Linked DNA regions of Coturnix japonica. The protein of the gene in region 1 binds, or shares a complex with, the protein of each later gene. Links are inferred from orthologs where the notes say so. Each region holds a gene or a part of one and is shown in the gene's direction. Other genes may lie near its edges.

Region 1 (5,762 bases):
TGTTAATTGCATAGAAACCTGAGCACGAAGCCACCTTCATGGAATGTGGTAGCTTTAACTCATTTTCACTGTCCATCTAACCCTAGCAGCTGGACTTTGCTGAGGACTCAGGTGCCAAAACAAAGAATCAAGAAAGCAAGCCCCTATTTTCTGCCACTTCTGCTGCAATGGCTGTAACTGCTGGCAGAGAACACAAACTGTTGCAGCATGGCTTTCTTTTGAGGTAATGGTAGGTACAGCTACAACTGTAACTGCAGCCTATGACAATGATCTGCCAGTTTAGTTGAATATCTTTAATCCTGACAAAAGAAATAAATCCAACCTGTCAGTCAGTTTACACTCAGATTAATTCATACTTTACCAACGACCAAATGGAAAAAGTTTTACATTAACAATATCTGAGGTTTTGTTGTCCCAAATGGGCAAGAGAATTGGCTACCAGTGACCCCCTAAAATAAAGACAATTATTAATTAAACATAGTTACATTTATCTAAAAGCCTAATGAACAGCTTTTGCCTGTAAGACTAATTTTACTTTCCTTCCTTATTCCCTGTATCCTTTCTTGCAAACAACAAAGCAAAACCAAACAAAAAACAACTAAAAAACAGCCAACCATAAAAAAACAAAACAAAAAAACCCCCAAAAACACAACCCACAGAAACTGGCTCGAGCTGGTTTGTAATGGTTTGAATACTGCCCTGCACAGCACAGAAGCTTCCCCTCCATTGCTTGGGGTTTGCTTTCTCTTTGCAAAAAGTGCAGGGCCTACAGACTGACTCTGGGAATAGATAAAAACAAACATGCAAAGAATCCGCCCACCAAATACCTGTTTATAGTTATGGTATGACAAAAATTAAAAGAAAGAGGGAGAATCCTTTCAGCTGCGTTAGAATCAATTCCTAAAAGCCTGAACTATGTTCTTTCAGTTCAAAGAAGCTGGACTGCTACTTATAAAGTGGGGTTTAAAATTAAGTCCCACATCACTCGTGGATCACAGTTTCAAGCAGCGATAGTGGATACTTGTATACACAGAACTGAAAGCGTTTCCATTTATTTCGTCTGCACCTCGATGCTGCCCACAAAAACAGTGACGAACTGAGTACCTTCCCTAGTCGTTTTATTGGACACTCGGCGTTGCCCGGCGTTACCACTGATTGACAATTATCTATCGGTATTTTGGCAGTCACTCTGAAAAACAATCAAGACGAAGCTAATGATCGAGCGGTGACGCCTCAGAACACACAGCAACAACAGTCATTAACACTGCATCGCTAGGTTATAACCGGATGGTTACCGCTCACATTCCACCAGCAATAAAGGTCCAAAGCAACCACAGAATAACACCCGCCGGTGCTCCGGGTCCTTAAACCCAGTCACCAACTCCAGCACGTTAAACGCAGGCGGCAGAGGGGAGAGGCACGCTTTCCTTCACTTTAAACTTGATCTCTTGCAAAGCCCGCAGTAGGACGGGCACATCACCTGCACAGCGGCAGCCTCGGAGTCAGGACCGCGCGTTCAGCCGCGCTCTGCCTGCCGGCGTGCTTATGTCTGAGCAGCCCGTGACGGCCTGTTCCGAGCGCGGCCCCGCGGCGCCGTTACATAAACAGCGGTACCTTCCGCAAACAGCGCCGGCGACGCGCCGCCTCCTGTGGGTACGTGGCCGGGCACGGATAAAGCCCCTCCGGCCCGGGGAGCGAGCAGCGTGCCGACAGCGGGGGACAAGGAGCGGCACGGCGGCGCCATTTACCCGCCCGCACCGTGCCGACACCGACCCGCCGCCGCTCCTCCCGGCGGCACGGGGCTCCGGCGGGGCTCGGCACCGCAGCTGGACAGGGGGCGACCGCCCTGAACGTTCTCGGCCGCCTCCTGACCGCGCCACGGCTGCGGCCCCGAAGTTTCGGTATCGCGTTTCCGCGAGCCTTTTTGTTTGTGTGTGTGCGTCCCTTCCCGCAGGTGTCCCGCAGCGCACACCGCCAGGTGCGGGAGGCCCCGCCGCCCTCCGCCCGGCTCCTCCCCGCTCCGCCCCGCGGCGGCGGGCCGGCCCAGGCAGGCCGCGGGGCAGCGTCGCGCTTCCAGCACCTTCTCCACCTCTCCCCACGCCGCCCGCCGGCGCCTCCTCACGGAGGTGGCCCCAGCCCCGCGCTCCGCTCCGCGCGGGCGGGCCGGGAGGCGGCGTGGCGGAGCCTCGGCGGCGGCGCGGCTGTCGCGGGCAGAGCCGGGCGCATACCGCACCTCCCCGCCCTACGGCCTCCCGGCTGAGCGACGGGCGGCGGCAGCCAATAGGGGCGCCGGCTCCGCGCTGGGGGGCGGGCAGACCCCGCCGGCGGGCCAGTGGGAACGGCGCTTCCTGAGCAGCGGCGGCGTCGGCGCGGGGAGGCGGCGGAGGGGGCCGTGGGCGGGGCCGGAGTTTGGGAAGCGGAGGGAATGGCTGTCACCGGTGAAGTCATGCTCGGCGCCTAGCCGCTCTCCGTCCCCGCTCCGCTGCTCGCCCAGAGGCAGCGGCGCGACACCCGGCGCGGCGCTCCGCCCGAGCGGAAGGTAAACGCACCTCGCCCCGCGGGGCCCCGCGCCGTCAGCTCCGTACCCGCCAGCTCCGTTCCGCCGCCCCGCGCGTTCACGGAGCGCAGCCCCGGCCGCCCCCCGCCCGGTACGCCCCGGTGTGCGCACCGCCAGCGCGGCGCGGGGAGAACAAAGTTTGGCTGCGGTGTCGGGGGAATAAGCCCCGCGCGCACCGCCAGCCGGGGAATGGGACAGAGACCGCCCGCCAGCGCCGTTCGGCCGCGGGTTTTTGGCTCCGTCCGCAGCGGGGACGGAGTCGGAGTGCGGAGCAGCGGCCGGGGCCGCCCGCCCCTTCCCCACCGCGGCTGCGTGGCTCGGGGAAGTTGTGGCGTCCTGCGGCTGAGCGCGGTGCGGGGCTGTCTCCGCAGCGCTGCTGGCAGCGGGAGGCCGCGGGCTGGGCGCCTGTCACGGCGCGGGAGGGAGGAGGGAGGGCAGGCAGGGAGGGCCGCGGCCCCGCGCGGGGCTTCCGCTGCCTCCGGTCTGCTCCCCGCGGGCACCGCGCCTGCCCGGCCCCCGCCCCGCACAGCGACATACGCACACACACACACACAGACACACACAACGTGCGCTCGCGGTTTGGCGATCGCCTTAACAAGCGAAAAGCGTTTTATTTCCGGTGTGCGCGGAAATTTATTTATTTATTTATTTTTAATTCGGTCGGACCAGCCGCCGGTACGGGACGCGGCGCCGCGCAGCGCCCTGCCGTGCCGGCCGAGCTCGGCACCTGGAAAAGTTCTGTCCTCGCCGGGGCGGCGGCGGACGATCAGGAAGCGGCCCCCTCCGCGCACGGACGCGTTGGGTGGCGGTGACATGGTGGCGGGGGCGCGGGGCGGCGGGGCTCGGGGCCGGGCTCTGCCCTGAGGCGTGCCCCCGGGGGAGCCCGCCCGCCGCCGCACCCCGCCGCGGTACGGAGCCACACGGCCCGGCCGGGCGGAGGGACGGAGCGGGGCCGCGTCTCCTTGCGCTGTGCAGCCTCTGGGCCGTGCCGAAAACTTTCCGAGAAGGCCGGAGGGGCGCGCGGGGCCCGGCGGGGTGCAGCCCGCCGCCTCGCCGAGGCCTACGTTCCTCGGCCGGGCCGGAAGCCGCTTGGCGCTGCCGAGGCGCTGCCCTGCCCCGCGCGGGCGGTGCGTAGCGGTCCCGCGGACGCCGTCCGGGAGCCCGCGAGCGGGGCCGGACCGACGGCGAAGAGCGGAGCGGAGCGGACGGGCTTCGGGTTCTGACTGCTCCCCCTCCCCCCCAAATTTGTCATGGTGGAATGGCAGTCTGTGCACAGCTGGGAAAGTTACGGTCCTTCACGCTGCAGCCGAAGTTACCGTTAAATGCTTTTTTTTTTTTTTNTTTTTTTTTTTTTTTTTTTCTCCTCCCTCTCCTTTCCAATTTGCTTTCTGCGAAGCGCGCATCGTTATTAAGTAATTAGTCTCGTTCCGTGTCGGTTGTTGTGGCCGCGCGATTCGCCTCGGCATCGGCTGTTGACGACACGCAGCCTCGCCGAACTTCGGTGAACACCGCGTTTTTTGTCTTTCCGCGAATACTTTGGGTAAGTAAATAACCGGAGAAAGGGAACGGTAAAACAGCGATCGGTTTTCATCTAATTATTTATTTATTTTTTATTTTTTTTTTACCACTGGAAGTAGTGTGCGCGCTTTCTGCAAAAAAGTGACGTAGGACCTGTGACACCGCCTTGTGCCATTTGCAATCTCTTTTGTTTTTGTTTCCAGTTTGTTCGTGTCGTTTAGCGTTACCCACAGCCTCTGTGGCCCAGGCAAACACACGTTTCGGAGCCGAGTTCCCTCAGTAGTGCACCAGTCCGAGGTGGGGCCGTCGCTGCCGTGTGAGCCGGGCATTGTTATGCAAATCGAGGCACACTTTCTCTTCGGGAGCCTAATTGCCCCCTTACTGTCTTTGACTTCTTTTCTTTTGTCCTTTTGTGATTCTGTGCGAAAAATGATGTAGGAGAGTGGTAGCGGTGAAGACCGGGTTGTGTCAGCAATAGAAGGAAAGATCGAATAATGAACGTTTTAAAATACATCCAGGGTTGGGTGTATCACACAGAATGCGTGGACGTGACAGAGGTGAGGTTAAAGCTTCATTAAATCCAGCGTTTCTCTCATGAGTTGTTATGTCTCAGCTTCAGTATTGGTGTTTCTGTGGTGTTTCATAGAACATATGCGCCAGAAGAGTGTGTTCAAAGTAGTCTCAGATCTTTTCTTTTGTTCATTTCTGAAGTGGTCTGTGAGCATTTCTTGTGAAGTTTGAAAAACGCTTTGACCAACGCCTGAGGCTTGAAGTTGACAAGAGGAAAAAGTGCTCCAGCTAACACTCATATGAAATACGTTCTTGACAAAGGTGTACATGAAATTAACATTTCTAGATATATTTTCTCAGGTTTTGTTGAAGTTAAGGTCACAATACGCGTGGTCTGCACTTCTTCCATCAGTGTTCATGGCCTGAACTATCAGTGTTGCTGTGAACTAGCAATCCTAAACTGAAAAAGACTTTTATTCTTTAAATGAATTTGGACATCTTTGCAGATTGCTTGTTAAAACACCTTTTTTTTTCCTTCTTTTTTTCTTTTTTGGCGTGCGTGTGTGTTCTTTCTGTATGGAGTGTTTCTTGGACATACATCTCTTCTGTATCAGTCTTATTTTTCAGTTGTTCAGTTGATCCTCCAGCGGGATGAGAAGAACAGTGTTACAACATAAAGACCGCTTGTCGTGAAAATGGCAGCAGAGAACAGTTTATGTCTTATTTGCAAGCCATAAAATAAGGAAGGATGATTTTGGAGAAAGAAGCAAGGCTCTTCAGACACAGCTCTGGTAGTCTGCTGGTGTAGCAGGATTAGAAGACTAAGACTGAAAATTGTTTTTATTTTTTCTAACACATTTAAAGTCTACTCTTCTTGTGGATAAACGTTTTGCTCTGAGTGTGTCCCTGCACATTACTGTGGGGTTGCAGCACCTAGGTGAATCATTTAGAGCCAGGATCTCTAGGGCAAATGCTAAGAACATTTCTTGTCATGAAAATGATGCCTTTGCCTCATCTTTGTTGATATTTTATTTTAAACAACTCATAGTAAGAAACAGCTTTCTTCCTTCTTTTCTTCCCCATCTAAATAGAGACCTGTAATTAATTCCTTTCCCTCTGCCTACCTCTAATTGTGGCTTTTGTTTTTCAGAGTCTGACACGAAGATGATGTTCACTA
Region 2 (5,749 bases), on another chromosome or scaffold:
ATCCCTCCGTCTCCCCAGCAGCACAACATAGAGGCTCACCACCTCCCTTCCACCCCCAGAAGCAGGATTTGGCCGGCAGAATGGATCTGCAATCTATGTGTTAATCATTATCTGCCCCCAGGAACCGTGCTGACCTCCTGAAAGGGAGTTTTCATTAACAAACACGCAATGGATGCTCCCAGTTTGCATCCAGAAAGAAAGTTTCCATGTTGGGTGCAAACTCACCAATGGGGGTCTCCCTAATTAGGCATCAGCCTGTGCTATGTGACAGGGAGAAGAGGCTGGGATAATTATCTCCTCCATAAAGGTCCTTTAATCAGCTCGCTCTGCATTCTGACCCTGTGCTAACGATGTGGCACCTGATGGGAGAGTGGAAAAGGGGAAGATCCAAAGAGGAACCCCAGCAAAGCATCGGTGCTCATCAATCACAATGAGGAGCTGGAAGCAGAGCTGGAGCAATGGGAGCAATGAGTGCAGGACTGGGAGGCAACGAGCTGCCCCCAGTGTGAGTTATGAGACATGCACAACCAGCTGCACGGCTGCAAACACACACTTGCACAGCCAAAGTGCAAAGCAACATGCCTGCACGTGCATGGTGCATGCACACGTGGACACATGTGCAAACACATGTGCAAACACACGTGCACACGTGGGCACATATGCAAGCATGTGCACACACATGGACACGTGCACAGCTGTGTACATACACATGTGCATGCATACGTGTGCACAGCTGCACATGCATGCACACACAAGTATGCATCAAAACACATGGACATACCCTGACACGCATGCACATGCATGTACACACTTACATACATGCTCACACATGTCCACATGCAGGCACATTTACACACATGTACACATGTGTGCATACACATAGAGACACGTGCATGTGTGTGCATACATGTGCACATATAGGCACATGCAAACATGTGAATACACATGTGCACACATACACATAAGGACATGCCTGCACATGGAGGTACATACATACACACAGAGGTACATACATGAGGTGTACACATGAAGATCCATATACACCCACACACACATGTATGAACATACATGCAATCATATGCACATATAATCACATGCACTAACAGCTACACACGTGTACACACATGCTAACACATGTACCCATGCACATCCATGCACACATGCAGATGTGTTTACACCACCCACACACATACACACATACATGCACACACATGTACACACGTACGTACATGTACTCAGGAAAACACATATGAACACACATGTACACTATTATGAACACGTGCACACATGTACACATACACACACATGCATGCAGAGTGGGCACGCATATGCACACACGTGTGCACACATATGCACATATCAGATGCATACACGGCCCTAAACATGCAAACACACACATGCTGGCAGAGATATGTGCACACAATCACACACATGTGCACACATACAGCCAATGGGGGCGGGGCCTCACAAGTGGGCGGGGCTTTGTTTAAGGGGCGTGGCCACACAGAGGGGGCGTGGCTTAGTGAAGGGGCGTGGCTTAGTGAAGTGGTGTGGCTTATTGGAGGGGGCGTGGCTTAGTGGCGGCTTTTGAGGGGGTGTGGCTTGGCAGAGGGGGCGTGGCTTTGCTCTGGGGGCGTGGCTTAGCGGAGGGGCGTGGATTATTGGAAGGGGCGTGGCTTATTGAAGGGGGCGTGGCTTATGGAAGGGGCGTGGCTTATTGGAGTTAGCTTGGCTTAGTGGATGGGCGTGGTTTATTGGGGGGCGTGGCTTTGCTCTGGGGGCGTGGCTTAGTGGAAGGGGCGTGGTTTTATCGGAGGGGGCGTGGCTTAGTGAACGGGGTGTGGCTTATCGGAGGCGTGGCTTTTGCTTTGGGGCGTGGCTTATTGGGTGGGGCGTGGCTTAGTGAAGGGTGTGGCTTTAGTGGAGGGCGTGGCTTATAGGATAGGGCGTGAACGGGTGTGGCTTATCGGGGCGTGGGTTATCGGGGGGCGTGGCTTTTTTCTCTGAGGGCGTGGTTTAGCGGAGGGGCGTGGCTTAATGTGGGAGTGGGCGTGGCTTAATGTGGGAGTGGGCGTGGCTTATCGTGGGAGTGGGCGTGGCTTATCGGGGGTGGGGGGCGTGGCTTCTCACGCCGCGCGCTCCCTCCGCTCCGGGCGCCGCCGCTTCCGAGTAAACAGCGCCGGGCCGCCCCCCCAGCTTTAGGCCCGGCCCGGTTCGGTTCTGCCCGGTCCAGCACCGCCATGGCCGCCCGTGGAGCTTTCCCTCTCAGCCCTCTGCCTCCCTCCGGCTCCGCCGCTCCTCCTCCTCCAGGGCCCGGACCCGGTATGATGAGAGGCCCCAACCCGACTCCGGCCTCCGGGGCCGCTCCGGGATATCGTCCGATGGGGCCTTCGGGAGCGCAGTACCAGGTGAGGGCGGGCGGGGGGCGGCTCTGTGCTCTGTATTGGGGATGGGAGGTGGGAGGTGGGATTGGGGGGTTACTTAGAGGCCTCCAAAGGGGCCGTGGGGGTTCAGAGGCCTTTTGGGCCCGGAGGAAGCGGCGCTGCTTCCTGAACGTGGGGCCCTGGCGGTGGGGGGGGAGCGGGGCTCCATAGGGGCGGCTGTCCTGGCCCCCCACCCCCATTAAAAAGTTAACGGAGAAGTGTTCTGCCCTATGGAGGTGGTCCCGTACCCCCCCAGGCTGTGCTGTGGGGGTCCTGGCCCAGGAGGGTCCATCACAGCCATCCTTGTGCATTTCCAGCTCCGGAGATGGAGCTGTGATGGTGAACGTTAAAGGGAAGGAATGGGGATAAAGGGGAGTAAATGTGACCCGCTGCAGTGCTGGAAGCTGTGGACTCTGCTCTCTTTCTGCTGCCTTTTCTGCTGTTGGTTCAGCCCCCACGTGTTGTGGGGTTGTTTATGGAGAAGCCTCGTTCTGCGATGAGTTCTGAGTTCCAAACCGAAGAAATCCAGTCATCCACATGGGGGGAATTTCCAACTGCTGTATCAAAGGAGGAGAAACAACCCGTGAAGCTGAAAAACCCCGAAGTGAAAACTGAGATGAGCTCAGCCAGGCCAATAGGGCCCTGCATTGGCTGTAATGTGACTCAGAGCTATAGGGAGGCTTCATCCCGACCTTCCCAGGTTGCAGAACCCAGCGGGCATCGCTCTGTTGTGGGTAAACAGGGGCACATATGTTTGCTTTCACCCCCCCCCCTTATCCCATGCTGGCCATAATACTGCACTCATGGCAGGTGTTGGGAGCGTATGGATGGGGTAGGGTGAGACTGGGAGCATATGGCAGTGCTGCAGTGTTTGGGTAATGCAAGTCGTTGTTGTCGTGTCTGGCCGGCAGTTTGCTGGCACAGGGAGGGGATTGGGGGCTGATCGATCCGGTCTGTCTTTTGTTTTGCAATTTGCAGGCCTGTTTAAAGCAGCTCCTCCCCACCAAGTGGTCAAAACTGCGGTGCCCGCAGGACTTCTCAGGGGGTAACCAGTGAGTCAGGCTCCTTCTGCTGCATTATGCTGGCTAGGAGAACACAGCAGCCCTCATGTATGGCAGCGGGTGCTTAGGGGCTCTTTAATCAGTGGATTATTAAATGTATGTTAATCCTTTGACATCCCTTGCCTGCCTGGCTATGCACCAGCAGCTCAAGAAGGGAAATGGGGAGGACAACTCACTCTAGCACTGATGTTTCCAGAGCAGAAAGGAGTGGGAGTGTGTTCATGCAATGGGCGATCAGCTGCACGGTGGTGTGTCCACCCCCATCCCAAGGCTCAGGTTAGCATAAATCCATCAGGAGTTCCCTCTGTTTGTTGTAATGGAGGTTTCAGGCTTGGGAGATCCTTCCCGAGTTATCAGGTTGATGCTGTGGTAGGGAATGGGCTCAGCTCTGTGATGCAGTGGAGGAGGGGCTGTGCAGAATGGCCTTGAGGTTGCCCTGTGCTGTCGCTTTGCTGGCGTAGATCAGTGGCAAAAAAAAGAAGAAGTGGAGTTAATGAAGTGCCCCGTTAAAAGCATTTCATTGGCACTTGCTGACAAGCAGGAATCCCATTTCCGTGGGACGGAAGGGCTGTTGCAAGCCAAACAACTGCTAACAAAGTGATATTGGAGGAAGCGTGGCTGTGCATGGAAGGAGTTGGAGCTTTCTGCTTCCAAACAGACCTGCTGGATCCCATTAGGAGAGGAGAGCTGGGTGCTTGTCCCATGGTTGGCCTGGGGACGGCAGCAAGGCTGGAAGTGCAGCACACAGCAGGGATCTGCAGCTTGCATTGCTGCATGACCCACCCTTCCCAGTGGGGGACTGTTTCCAAGGCAGGTTTCATCAGAGGCTGAGCATCCAGCAGAATGAAGCCGTGACACAAAGCAGAGCAATGCTGTGCTCTCAGTGCTGGATAGAAGCAGGCAGCAGCAGAGCTCAGGGCACCCTTTGTTTCTCCTTAAGGCTCATGGAGGTTCTGCTCGGTGGGAGCATCTCCAAAGCTTCCTGCTGGAGGCCTTTGCTCTGTCTTCCTCCATAGGGACCCTCAGAGCCTTTCCCTGCACATCTGAGCAGTGTTTTCCACTCTTCCCATTGCTTCCCCCTTTGTATTACTTGAGGCTGCCACGTTTTCAAGCAGGAACCCAACACCTTTCTTCCTTGTTCCTGCTTGTGTTTAAGGCATAAATCCCCTGAGTTCTTTCTCTGCCTGCTGCAGCCTCTGTTCCTTAGGTTGCTCTTTGTTTTACACCTCCTTCCCCCTCTTACCCTGTGCTCTCCATGGCCATCAGCACGAGGTGAAAGTCCCAGGCTGTAACTCGTGCATCCCTTCTGTTCTCTTGCCAAGTCCCTGCGGTGTGGAAGCTGCTGAGAAAACTTCACTTAATGTGGCCTTTCCCCTTCAGTGTCAGCATGGCTGCTGGGTCCTGGTGTGAGCGCTGCAGCCTGCACTGCTTGCAGCCCATGACCTGGATCATCTGCAGCTGCAAAGCCACACGTGGGCAAGTTTGCCTGAGCCCAGATATCTCAGCTGGTGCTTGACGTGTTGCCAGCACGTGTCCTCAGTCTGCTCGGCTTCGCTGCCTGTTGCTTTGCTGTCCGCTCTTTAATTTAATGCTTCCTCACCAAGTTTTGTAGCTGAGGCTCCTGCTGCTGGAGCACTGGATTGCAGCTGATCTGAGCATCGCAGCAGCCTGCCTGCATCCAAGAGCTTGCAGCGAAGGACGGACGCCTCACCAGCAGCAACAGCTTCCTGCTCATGTTCACTTTGTCTCCTCCCCTTGCAGGATGGGGTTTGCAATGCAAGTGTTTTGGGGTGTGCTGCAGGGGTTTCAGTTCATCCCAAGCAGTGCTTTTGTTGGGGCTGAGCAGCCCAGTGCAGAGCTGGGTTCCTGTTGTTGGGGCAGGGTTTGCTTTAGCCCACACCACAGCAGGAAGTGATGTGGGATGCACAGGGGGGGCTGGCAGGAAGAGCTGCCCCCCGGCACCTTTTGGGTGAGGACACACACATGGGTTTTCATTCCCCAATTATTTAGTGGGTGCCAAGAGCAAACTGAGTGGAAATGGGGCATTGCATCAGGACAGCTCGATGCAGTTTGGGGGGTTTTATGAGCCTTCCTCAAGGCTCTGCTTGGGGAGCCAGCAGGGAGCTGCTGGTGCTCAATGCATTGCAGCCTTCTTGCATGCTGGGGAGCTCACACCCTGCTCGTGGTCCTGGCATTGCCACAGTGGGAGGGGTGAGCTCAGTGCAGGAGGTTTGTGCAGCACCCCCTCACTGCTGGGTTCTGGAG
Region 3 (5,858 bases), on another chromosome or scaffold:
ACGAGGATCCTTGCATTGCTCAGGATTATAGGGATGGGCTGTGAACAGCTGGCGGGCTACAAGGTGTGTGATGCATGCAGAGTGTGCATCCAAGGCTGTTGGTGCACACTGCGCACAAGACAAGGAGTTAATTACACTCCCCAGGAAGCATCACTGACAATGCACGCGAGGACAAGGTGCTGCACGCCTCAGCCTGAGGTTGCTGGGAAGCACCTGCTTGCACACGGCTGATTGTGTAGCTGCTGAAACCCTACAGAGCAAGGATTAATCACGCACCATGCAGATAGCGGCGGCACTGATAGCATCACCTCCTCTCCTCCACAGCAATAACTCCTGGTTACCACTTGCTCTCTGCTAACGCTGCCAGCAGAAACAGGCACTGGGCTATAATTACACAGCCCTGGATGCTGCTCGGCTGCCTGGAGCCAGAGCCACGCGGGCTGGGGAAGGTTTCAGCAGAGATGCCTCATGCCAGCAGGTGCAGGAAACGAAGGTGCACGGGTAGCATTTCACCGAGCAGTGAACCAAGCAAACCCTCAGGCTGAGGGAAGGAGAAAGGACAAGTGTAAGGAGACACTGGGGTTATTTCACCCTCCCTTGCTTCTTATGAAACACAGCTAATGACAGAGGACAAGGAGAAATGGCATCAGAACGTCCCTGGAGAGGGGGAGCTGGGGCAACACTGTGCTCAGCTCTTAGGAACCCACAGCTCTTAAGTGTGGGTTGGATGAGTGGACAAGGGCTGAGCTGTGAGAAAGGAGCTCTGCAAAAAAAGACGTGGGTCTCTTGGTGGCCAACGGGGTAACCATGAGCCAGGAGTGTGACAAGAAGGCTAATGATACCCTGGGGTGCACTGCACAGAGCCTGGCCAGCAGGGTGATGGAGGGAGGTGCACCTCCCCTCTGCTCTGCCCTGGGGAGGCCACAACTGGAGCACTGGGCTCAGTGCTGGGCTCCCCAGTTCCAGGCAGACAGGGAACTGCTGCTGGAGAGAGACCATTTCTCAGCTCAGCCCTTCCTTATTTCTATATCCCTCCCAGCCACTTCCTAACTCTGTCCAAAGGCTCCTGCCGGGCTTTAAGCCTCACTTGAAGTTGCTGCATCTGAACAATACGGAGCAGATAAGTTCCACCGCTTCTCCTCACCATGAATATTTCATCAGGCAGCCAGGCGCCAAGGCTGTGTTGGAGGTGGCATTACATTAACTGCACGGACACACGGATGCTGAGACAACAGCTAATGGCTGTGCTCACGGCATCGTGTTTTCTATCGAGGTCAAGAAACACTGAATTTGGTGGAAAAGATGCCAACAACTCCCCACTTTTCTCCTCAGTCAACAATGCCATGCACTGTACAGGACAGCTTCCTAAATGGCCTGTGATTATCATTAATTGCTTAATTAATACTTGCGGTGTGGCTGCTCTCTTGGATTTTATTCATGGATTAATGCAGGCTGGATGCAGGTCCCTCTGCTCTATGAGCAACCACACGGATGAGTGCCCTGGGGACAAGGAAAGTAATGCTAATACTTGCAAAAAGCGGCCTTTAATTCAGCGCTGTGCCTTCTACTGAGGGAGGGAGGAATCCTCCTCCAAGCATCCCCAGCCCTAAGCAAAGCAGCCCCAAACACGAGCACAGAGCACCTGTAAGAACAGGGGACCCCCACCCCAACTCAGTCACAGCATCGAGGCTTAATGAGCACCATCCTCCAGCACCTTGCACCCTCAAAACACTTTCCTATGGTCCATGCATGTCCCCAGGACGCAGCCCCTTCCCACACATCCCCCCCTGCAAATACCCCATCCCATCCATGGTCTCTGAAACCCCCAAACCCAACACCATCCCATAGCCCTCTCCAAGTCCTCTACCCCCACCCACAGCCCTCCCCACGCTCTACACCCCCCACCCCCACCCCAGAACCTTGCCATACTCCCCCAGGCCCCTATTCCCCCACAGTAGTGAACCTTAAACCCACCCACGACCCCCTCCCCACCCACTACTTCCCACCCCCCGCAGTTCCTCCCGCCGGCAGGGGGCGCTCTCTGCAGCCGTTGCCGCTCTAGGCCGCTGTCCGCGCTCTCTCTATGTCAGAGCTCCGGTTCCGGCCCGCTCCTCTTTGTGCTGGACAAGATGGCGGCGCGGGCGGGCTTCCAGTCAGTGACTCCCAGCGGTGGAGGCGGCGGGGCCGCTACCGGGACCGGAGCGCTGGGTCCGGGCACACCAGGCGGACCGGTGCGCATGGGCCCAGCCCCGGGACAGGGCTTGTACCGCTCACCTCTACCAGGGGCCGCCTACCCGGTGAGGCAGGGGAGGGGCCGCTGCGGGGCGGGGCGGGAGGGAGTGGGGGCGGCGGGGCCGAGGACGGGGCCGGCTTCCCCCCGGGTGGGCATTGGAACGGCTTTTTTCTTCCCCTTGCAGCGCCCTGGGATGTTACCGGGCAGCCGTTTGGCACCGCAAGGCCCCTCTATGGGGCCGCCCGGGTACGGTGGGAGCCCGGCAGTGAGGCCCGGTATGGCGCAGGCCGGCCTGGATCAGGCCCGTAAGAGACCAGCGCCGCAGCAACTGCAGCAGGTTCAGCCTCAGGCGGTGCCCAACCGCAACCACAAGTAAGAACCGGGGGTGCTGGGGGGCTCAGGGAATAGACGGTGCGGGGGGGGGGGGGGGGGATCAGGGCATCCTTGGCCATCCTTAGAGCTGTGAGTGGGGGGAGGAGCTCGGGTCATTCATAGGATAACTATGGGGTAGAAAGGCTCTGGGGACATCGTTGGGTGTCCTCTTGGCAACAGGGGGGTTCTCAGGGCAATGGGTGTCCAAAGGATGCTGCCAGGGCAGTGGGAGGCTTAGGATATCCTTGGGTATCCTTGAAATAGGAAGGGTTCCTGGAGCAGATGAGGGTCCCAGATCTTCCCTGTGCTCCTCCAGGGCAGGGGAGGGAACAGTGAAGGTCTCAAAATGTCCCTTGGGCATCCTCAGAGCAGCAGGGGTCCTGAGGACATCCCTGGGATGGCAGATGAGTCTTGGGCATATCCTTGGGCATTCCTATGGCAACAGGGTTCCTCAGGACACCCCGAGGGCAAAGAGGAGTCTCAGGGCATCCTTGGGTCCAAGGGGTCTTCGAGGTATCTCTGTGCATCACCAGAGCATTGAGGGTGCTCAGGGCATCCCCAGGTGGACGTGGACACATTGCTTCTCTCCTCATGAAGCCCCATGGGACGAGATCTGTGTATCAGGGTGAGGGCAGGCATCACTGAGCTGCAGGCTCTCTCTGAAGGGGTCAGCACTGACTTGGTGTCATCTGCTGGCTGCTCAGAGCAGCACAAAGCTTTTCTGTGTGCAGAGCCAGGCCTGGGCCTCTCATTGCTGCTTTTTTTTTGTTGGGTGGCTGAAAGAAACTTTGATGTTCTCGTGCAGCTTCGTCTCTGGTAGAGGGGAATTTCCAGCAGATAAAAAAGTAATGTGCAACTGCTGGACAAGAGCAAGTTAATGTTCAGTTTCTGATAGTACAATGTGATGCCTTGGTAACGTTGGTAATGCATCTCTGAGTCTCCTAGAAAAGTCTGTCTAAAGCACATTGAGCCATAAGGCTTCCTTTCCAATGATGCAGCCTTGCTTTCATTGCTTTCCTTGGGGATGTATTAAGGCGATCAGCTGCTGCAGGGCTGAGAGCATTGCTGATGCCCTGGTCCTAAAACACAAACCTCATCTCGCTCCTTTTGTGAACGTCCAGTGTTAATTAGCAGAATGGTTGCCATTTTAATGCTCTCCTTACTTTACAGTGCTAAAAAGAAGAAGATGGCAGACAAAATTCTACCTCAGAGGGTGAGTGGCATGTGCAGTTGACAGCCTCTGCTGATATGGAGATGTGGGGGAACTGACAGTGATTTGCATTCTTGATTGGCTCGTGTTCTGCTTGTAGATCCGTGAACTTGTGCCTGAGTCTCAAGCTTATATGGACCTGCTGGCCTTTGAAAGGAAATTGGACCAGACGATCATGAGGAAACGCTTGGATATCCAGGAGGCTTTGAAACGACCCATTAAGGTAGGAGAGGGACATTCAGAGACTTACTGTTATCAGAAGAGTAGGAGGGCTTTGAAGGTTGTGTCATAACCCTATAAGCATAGAGAGAACTGTAATGCCCAGGACTTAAGTGGGGGGGTAGAACCAAGACTGCCTCTCTCTGTGCTGTTTGTCCTGAGAGTGGATGTATGAGGAAAAGAAGAATATTTAGCTTAGTTTTAACAAAACATAAGCATGATTCTCATCCCTTTGCTTCTGAATGAATACTGAGCTGATGCTTTTTCTTGTAGCAAAAGCGAAAGCTACGTATTTTTATCTCCAATACCTTCAATCCAGCCAAGTCGGATGCAGAGGATGGTGAAGGAACAGTGGCCTCCTGGGAGCTTCGAGTAGAAGGAAGGCTGCTAGAAGATGTGAGTGTAAGGCACCCAACTGCAGAGCTGATTTGATGGGTCTGGAATTGGAAATTGAACCAGTTTCTTAGTGTCTGGGAGTGTAGCTAAGGGCTTGATATCCTCCTTCATCTCTGTTTTCCAAGGAGTCTGATGGTGACGAGACCGAGAGCCCAACTCGGAGACCGATGGGTATCCCCATGGCAGAACATGAGTTATACAAAGTTCTTATAGCTATAAGAATTAATGGTGAGAGCCGATCAGTAGCACTTGTGTACCCTGGCTCTTAGAACCAGGGCACTCGCATTTTATGTAATTGCTGAGTAAGTTAATTCCTCCAAGCTCATCTTTATCTCCAGTCTTTCACCATTTTTGACTTGGAACTTGATTTTCGAGCATGTGTTGATGAATGTAAGTGTTCACAACTTAAAGGAACACTGCTGTGCACCTTGCCTGTGCTTGAGTCCTGGAACTTGCTCTCCTGACTCTCTCTTCCTTCCTGTGTTGCTTGCAGTCTGCTTTGTCCAAATACGATGCCACCAAACAGAAAAGAAAGTTCTCATCCTTCTTTAAATCTCTGGTCATTGAACTTGATAAAGACCTCTATGGCCCTGACAATCACCTGGTAGAGGTGAGCTTGCTTCTTTTTGCTGTATTATCTCTACAAATGGGTTGTTGTTCCAGCAGATTGAATTTGTGTGTAGTTGGTAACTTGTGAAGTGGGATATTTAAGGCTTTAACAAGTGGCTAGGTGCCAGGGCTGAATTCTCTTGAATTCTTATCTTAGCTTTTCCACTGACTTGCCAGGGCTCTGAATAAATGCATTAACTCTTGTTTCAAACTATAAATGGGAATAAGATGAATCTTCTGTCGTGGGGGAGGTTGGGTGGCAAGCAGCGGGAGCAAAAGGAATCGAGCGTGTAGGTGCAGCTAAATCCCCCTCCTGTTGCACGTATTCCAGTGGCACAGAACTGCTACAACTCAGGAGACAGATGGCTTCCAGGTGAAGAGGCCAGGAGATGTCAATGTGCGCTGCACTGTCCTTCTGATGCTCGATTACCAGGTGAGATGCTGGATAGCAGTGCTGGGCACACGTAGCGTTTGCTATGCTGTATCTGTGGCCATAGTCCCCTCTCACCTCTCTGTGCTTTTTCTTTCAGCCTCCCCAGTTCAAACTGGATCCCCGCTTGGCTCGTCTGCTGGGGATCCACACTCAGACTCGCCCAGTGATCATCCAGGCTTTGTGGCAATATATCAAAACCCACAAGCTCCAGGACCCCCACGAGCGGGAGTATGTCATTTGTGACAAATACCTCCAGCAGGTAACGGGATTTGTGGTGGGAATGAGCAACTGCTTCAGCTTTTCCTGGTCAGCAGACAGCTGTTTGGCACAGCTCCTGTTCCTTCCCTTAGCCTTGTGTTTCTGTCACAGATATTTGAATCTCAGCG
Region 4 (5,238 bases), on another chromosome or scaffold:
GTTTGCATAGGATCCTGCCTGTGTTTGTTTGCATATTTGCTTTTGTTCAGTGTAAGGAACAGAGATAACAAGTGGTGTTATGGTAGTTCTTACTGTGAGCACTTTGTATGAGGAAGCATCAGTACATTGCAGAAACACATTGAAGAAGGCTCAGCAGTGTTTATGGGGCAGGAATGGGCTGAACCCCACAGCTTGCTCACTCAGACTGCTCTGAAGCATGGGGGCAGCTCCTGCTTCAGCCCTTCCCAGCTCTGTGCATGGGGAGTGCTGGATCAGTAATAAGGTTGTTAGGAGAAGATGAATCCTAAAAGACATGATAAACTCCGTTAGGCATCAGCATACAATGTGAGCTGTGTCCCACCTGTCTTCCAGATACCTGGCTTACCGCAACTTCATGATCGACACCTATCGCCTGAACCCGCAGGAGTACCTGACCAGCACCGCCTGCAGGAGGAACCTGACGGGAGATGTGTGTGCTGTCATGAGGTGAGGGAACATCCATCTTTCAGCCAGTGCTTGCATTAGAAGAAAAGGAAATAGCGCGGCTTTGGTAATGGAAATGCTCTGGTAGGCAGGATAGGTGTGGGTAGCGGAATCAATTGAGTTTGAAGAGGCCATTTAAGGTCATCTAGTCCAGTTCCCCTGCACTGAACAGGGGCACTACAGCTGGCTCAAGTTGCTCAGAGCCCATCCAGCCTGGCCCATCCATCCAGTAGCCATTGTGCTGTCACTTTAGCAGTCTGTTCAGCCTCCTCTTGTAACCAGAGTATGTTATACTGTCCTTTATTTATGGAGTTCTGGGTGCTCGGTGAACCTACAGAGTTGGGGTCTTAACCTTTAGTGTCTGCTCTTTATTAAGCGTGTGGAGTTCATTTCAGAGTTCCTGGGTCTGCAGTTCAGTTTGGTTGGTTTGCTGTGTTTCACCAGATTTAAGTTGTGAGGTGCAGCAGAGCCCTGAAATCTCAGAACTTGCTGATGGTAGATCCAATATGAACAGCTACAGGTGGGTGAGAGAAGAAAGGGGTTGTGCAGCCCTCACATTGGTATGATGTCTGCAGATGGCTCCACATATGCAGCCTGAGCTTTACTTCATCTTTAAATAGATTTCCTGTTGTTCTGTTCCCGTGCTATATGCTAGGTGTCATGCTGGAGAGGTAATCAAGTCCACACAGTATGCCATATTTATTGCTCTTGTGATCAGTGAAGGTCTGTAGGAGGTGATGAGCCAATCTGATCCAAAACCAACCATTCCTTGGCTGTCTTTGCAGTCTTGCTTTGTTTCTTAAGATGTGGGTTTGTCCTGTTGTTTCAGAGTGCACGCTTTTCTGGAGCAGTGGGGTCTCATCAACTACCAGGTGGACCCGGAGAGCCGCCCCATGGCCATGGGCCCTCCTCCCACCCCTCACTTCAACGTGCTGGCCGATACACCCTCCGGCCTCATGCCTCTGCACATCCGTACCCCACAGGTGAGCCCTGCAGTGCCCTGGGGGTGGGAGGTGGCAGCTCTGGTCAGTGTCGTGCAGGAGAGTCTGCACATGTTGCTCATGGAAGGTGTTCATGAGTTCAGAATGGGTCAGTTGAGTCATATCGTATCATATCATAGACTGGCCTGGGCTGAAAAGGCCCACAGTGCTCATCGCATTCCAACCCCCTGCTGTGTGCAGGGTCAGCAACCAGCAGCCCAGGCTGCCCAGAGCCACATCCAGCCTGGCCTTGAATGCCTGCAGGGATGGGGCATCCACAGCCTCCTTGGGCAACCTGTTCCAGTGCATCACCACCCTCTGGGTGAAAAGCTTCCTCCTAAGATCCAACCTAAACCTCCCCTGTCTCAGTTTAAAACCATTCCTCCTTGTCTTATCGCTGCCCACCCTCACAAAAAGCCATTCCCCCTCCTGTTTATACACTCCCTTCAAGTACTGGAAGGCTGCAGTGAGGTCTCCGTGGAGCCTCCTCTCCTGAATCAGATCCGCACTGATGCTGTGTAAAGACATCTCCATAACTCATCATGTTGAGCTGTTTTGTTGGTTCTGTGTTGTGCTCAACCTTTGTCTGTAAACTTGGGGGATCCCTTTCAGCTCCTGACACTCCGTCCTTCCTTTCATGTTTGCTCACAGATCCCAGCTGCTCAGCAGATGCTGAGTTTTCCTGAGAAGAACAAAGAGAAACCCACTGACCTGCAGAACTTTGGGCTGCGCACAGATATTTACTCAAAAAAGACCTTAGCAAAGGTAAGTGCGTTTGGATTTCTGTTCCCCTGTGGCTTCTATTAAGTGGGTTCTATCAGTTGTCCTCCTCCAGATGACAGTGAAATGACTCGTTACTCTCAGATTCCCACTTCAGTTCTCACTGGAGGACACTGAGATGCCTCGCTGTATTCATGTTGGGTAAACAGTTTTGAAGGAGAGGACCACGTGCCTGTCCCAAACTACTCAGTGCTGTCAGTCTACAGACACTGAATTTGTGTTATCCTTATTTGATATTTTAATTGAATGCTTCGAAGTCAGCCAGGTGTCAAATAATTCAGTACAGAACCAAGAATCTTTCAGCAGAATCTTGAGTATAGAACTCAGGATCTGTCAGCAAAGTGCAATGTCTGGCACTTGGGCTGGAGGAATCCCAGTCATGAATACAATTGTGTTTTCCTCATCTTTTATAGAGTAAAGGTGCCAGTGCTGGAAGAGAATGGACGGAGCAGGAGACGCTGCTGCTGTTAGAAGTAAGTTCCTGGGGGAAAATGTAAGGCCAGGAGACAAAACCATGTAGGATTTTATACAGTAAGGAAAATGGACACGGAGGTTTAGTGGGTTCTTTTGAAGTCGGGGCAGATGGCAACAACATCCTTTTTGCTGCAGTTCTGAGACCCGGCAGACGTAGCTGGAGGGATGGGTGGTGGAGCTGTGTGTGCACGAGGCTGCCTGCTGCTGCTGTGCCTTTGGAGCTGGTAAAAGGCTGGGGCTCTCCCTTGAAGCTGTATCTCTTTCTTTGTCCGTCATCTCTACCAGAGCGCTGCTGCTACACAGATAGAGTGGAAGCATCTTGTACTGAGGGGACATTATGTTCTTTAAGGTTCACTTCTATCTGATTGTAGCTACAGCCCAGGAATTAAATGCTTAGATATGTTTGCACAGAGTCGAGAGCAGGTCTTGCAATGCAGGGAGGTCTTTGCATTGAGCAGCAGTTAGCAGCACACTGTGCCCTTCAAGGAATGGTTTATCTGCATGTAAGAACATGGAGAAGTTCTCTTGATCTTTCCAGGCTCTCCAATAAGCCATAACATGTTACAGGGAGCTGCAAACAGCCGCTCTGGAAGTTGAATTATTTAACACGCAGATTGTTTTCCTGTGCTCTGCCTCTTAATAAAGGAAGCTTTTAATTTGGTAGCCCTTGCATCCAGCACGTTAATTCATTCCAGGTGTGGCTGTCAGTCTGCACACTGCTCCATTCGGCCTGGGGAAGGACTTTGCTTATGGGGGAGAACAGTGAGGATGTGCTGTTCTGGCAGGGCTAATCTCAATGTGCTGCCTTCTTTTACTCCTGTTCCTGATAGGAAATGCTGGTGCCTCACACACAGCAAGCAGCCACCTCATGAAGTAATCCAGGCAGCATATTCATTTTTCTTTTAGGAAAACAAACAAAGCCTTGAGATTGCAAATGTATTTAATGCGAGTTTCAATTATTAATGTTCCTCATTCTTTGTGGATTTAACCTATGAATTAATCAGTACAGAGAGAATATCAGTTCAAGCGTAAGTAATGCAGCTGTAACGAGGCAGCTTGGTCCAATTAAATCCTCGGGGCGGCTTTGGGCAAATATCTGTGTGGTGCAGTTCCAAAGAGCAAATGGTACCTAAAATAGTCATCTCAAATAATGCCCATCCTTCCTCCTGTTGGCTGAGCAATGGGAGGGGTTGGCTTTCCCTGCCTGCCCCACTGCTCTGCCCCTCCGTGGTGTTCCAGAGCTCTCAGCTATTCCTAATAGGACTACAGAAATCTACCAGGGAGTGAAGGAGAATGAGTAGAAACCTTTCACGTGGCTGCAGGACGCAGCACTCGATCTGATGTGCTGAGTGGCTGCAGTGGGGATGTGATGACACGTGGTGGGATGGATTTAGGGAATGTGTGATGCTGAATGTGGGGTAAATGCTTCCCCACGAGTCTGACCCAGTGAATTGAGCAGTGTCACATTGCTTTAAACACTGCAGCAAGGGAGGCAGGAGGCTGGGGGAGCAGATCCTGAGCAGCTTGGGATCCTCAGTTCCAGAGGAGCTTGTCTGAACCAAATCCTTCTTCTGCTGGGCTTTTAAAGCCCCTCCTCTCATCTGCCCTGTGGGCTGCAAGGTCTTGTGCTGTTCTTTCCCCCCAGCTCAGCTCAGCTGGAGCACAGCTTCCCTGGGCAGGGGTGGCCCATCTCACCTCGGCACTGAGTTGCCTGCTATGCTGGGCATGGTGGTGATGGGCTGACCCAGACGTGGTGACCTCAGAGGGCTGTTCTTACCTTAACCAGTCTGTGCTCCTGCTCGCTTAGGGAAGCTCAGATGTCATGGGGAGGTTGGTGGGGAGCAGGAGGGCTCTGTCTGCTGCACTACATCCTACATGCAGACGTGTGCCTGAGAAGCCCACAGCTGCCAGGATTATCACAGGGATCCTCCATGATCTCATGATGTAACACTTAGTAGTTCCAATGTGGCTCTTCCCTTGCCCTGAATTACTGCTGGGACACCCAGCTGTTTGTTGTGAGGAGATGCACAAACAGCTGCCCTTTATTTCTGCTGTACTGCTCAGTGTAAGTAAAAACCAAGTAGGCTTCCAAGCCAGTTACACTGAACTGGAAACAGAGGTGAGACCCAATGAACAGGCTGATGGATGATGGATGCCCCATCCCTGCAGGCATTCAAGGCCAGGCTGGATGTGGCTCTGGGCAGCCTGGGCTGCTGGTTGCTGACCCTGCACACAGCAGGGGGTTGGAATGGATGAGCACTGTGGGCCTGTGCAACCCAGGCCATGCTGTGATCCTGCGATTTTCCTTTTTTCCTGGTGTATTGGTCTGATGCTCTTTCATTTTCCTACCATCTGCTGAATGGAGGGGTTGGACTTTGCCATCACATTCAGAACACATCTGTGAAATAAATACAGTTTCTGCCCCAAAGAGCTCAGTGCATTAAGGCACAGATGAGTGCCTTCAAGGGGAGCTCTTATGGGAATTAAACAGCATTTGGTGAGGCTTGGCAGGAGAGGCAAA

What was found.
Region 2: SMARCA2 (region 1) and SMARCD2 share a complex: the UniProt entries of both Homo sapiens proteins name them as parts of the BAF complex. The link is inferred for Coturnix japonica from reciprocal best matches to the Homo sapiens genes SMARCA2 and SMARCD2.
Region 3: SMARCA2 (region 1) and SMARCD1 share a complex: the UniProt entries of both Homo sapiens proteins name them as parts of the BAF complex. The link is inferred for Coturnix japonica from reciprocal best matches to the Homo sapiens genes SMARCA2 and SMARCD1.
Region 4: SMARCA2 (region 1) and SMARCC1 share a complex: the UniProt entries of both Homo sapiens proteins name them as parts of the BAF complex. The link is inferred for Coturnix japonica from reciprocal best matches to the Homo sapiens genes SMARCA2 and SMARCC1.

What each region holds. Positions count from the first base shown.
Region 1 is NC_029547.1:23,945,389-23,951,150, forward strand, and holds the start of SMARCA2 (probable global transcription activator SNF2L2), read left to right. Parts: upstream 1-2,386; 5' UTR 2,387-2,539; intron 2,540-3,953; 5' UTR 3,954-4,097; intron 4,098-4,278; exon of another isoform or gene 4,279-4,372; intron 4,373-4,513; exon of another isoform or gene 4,514-4,632; intron 4,633-5,762. UniProt on the Homo sapiens protein: ATPase involved in transcriptional activation and repression of select genes by chromatin remodeling (alteration of DNA-nucleosome topology).
Region 2 is NC_029542.1:1,259,902-1,265,650, reverse strand, and holds the start of SMARCD2 (SWI/SNF-related matrix-associated actin-dependent regulator of chromatin subfamily D member 2), read left to right. Parts: upstream 1-2,101; 5' UTR 2,102-2,240; coding exon 2,241-2,408; intron 2,409-5,749. UniProt on the Homo sapiens protein: Involved in transcriptional activation and repression of select genes by chromatin remodeling (alteration of DNA-nucleosome topology).
Region 3 is NC_029544.1:347,025-352,882, reverse strand, and holds the start of SMARCD1 (SWI/SNF-related matrix-associated actin-dependent regulator of chromatin subfamily D member 1), read left to right. Parts: upstream 1-2,093; 5' UTR 2,094-2,129; coding exon 2,130-2,297; intron 2,298-2,417; coding exon 2,418-2,605; intron 2,606-3,775; coding exon 3,776-3,818; intron 3,819-3,915; coding exon 3,916-4,038; intron 4,039-4,307; coding exon 4,308-4,436; intron 4,437-4,923; coding exon 4,924-5,040; intron 5,041-5,370; coding exon 5,371-5,472; intron 5,473-5,569; coding exon 5,570-5,731; intron 5,732-5,841; coding exon 5,842-5,858. UniProt on the Homo sapiens protein: Involved in transcriptional activation and repression of select genes by chromatin remodeling (alteration of DNA-nucleosome topology).
Region 4 is NC_029517.1:723,217-728,454, forward strand, and holds part of SMARCC1 (SWI/SNF complex subunit SMARCC1), read left to right. Parts: intron 1-372; coding exon 373-486; intron 487-1,312; coding exon 1,313-1,466; intron 1,467-2,114; coding exon 2,115-2,228; intron 2,229-2,656; coding exon 2,657-2,716; intron 2,717-5,238. UniProt on the Homo sapiens protein: Involved in transcriptional activation and repression of select genes by chromatin remodeling (alteration of DNA-nucleosome topology).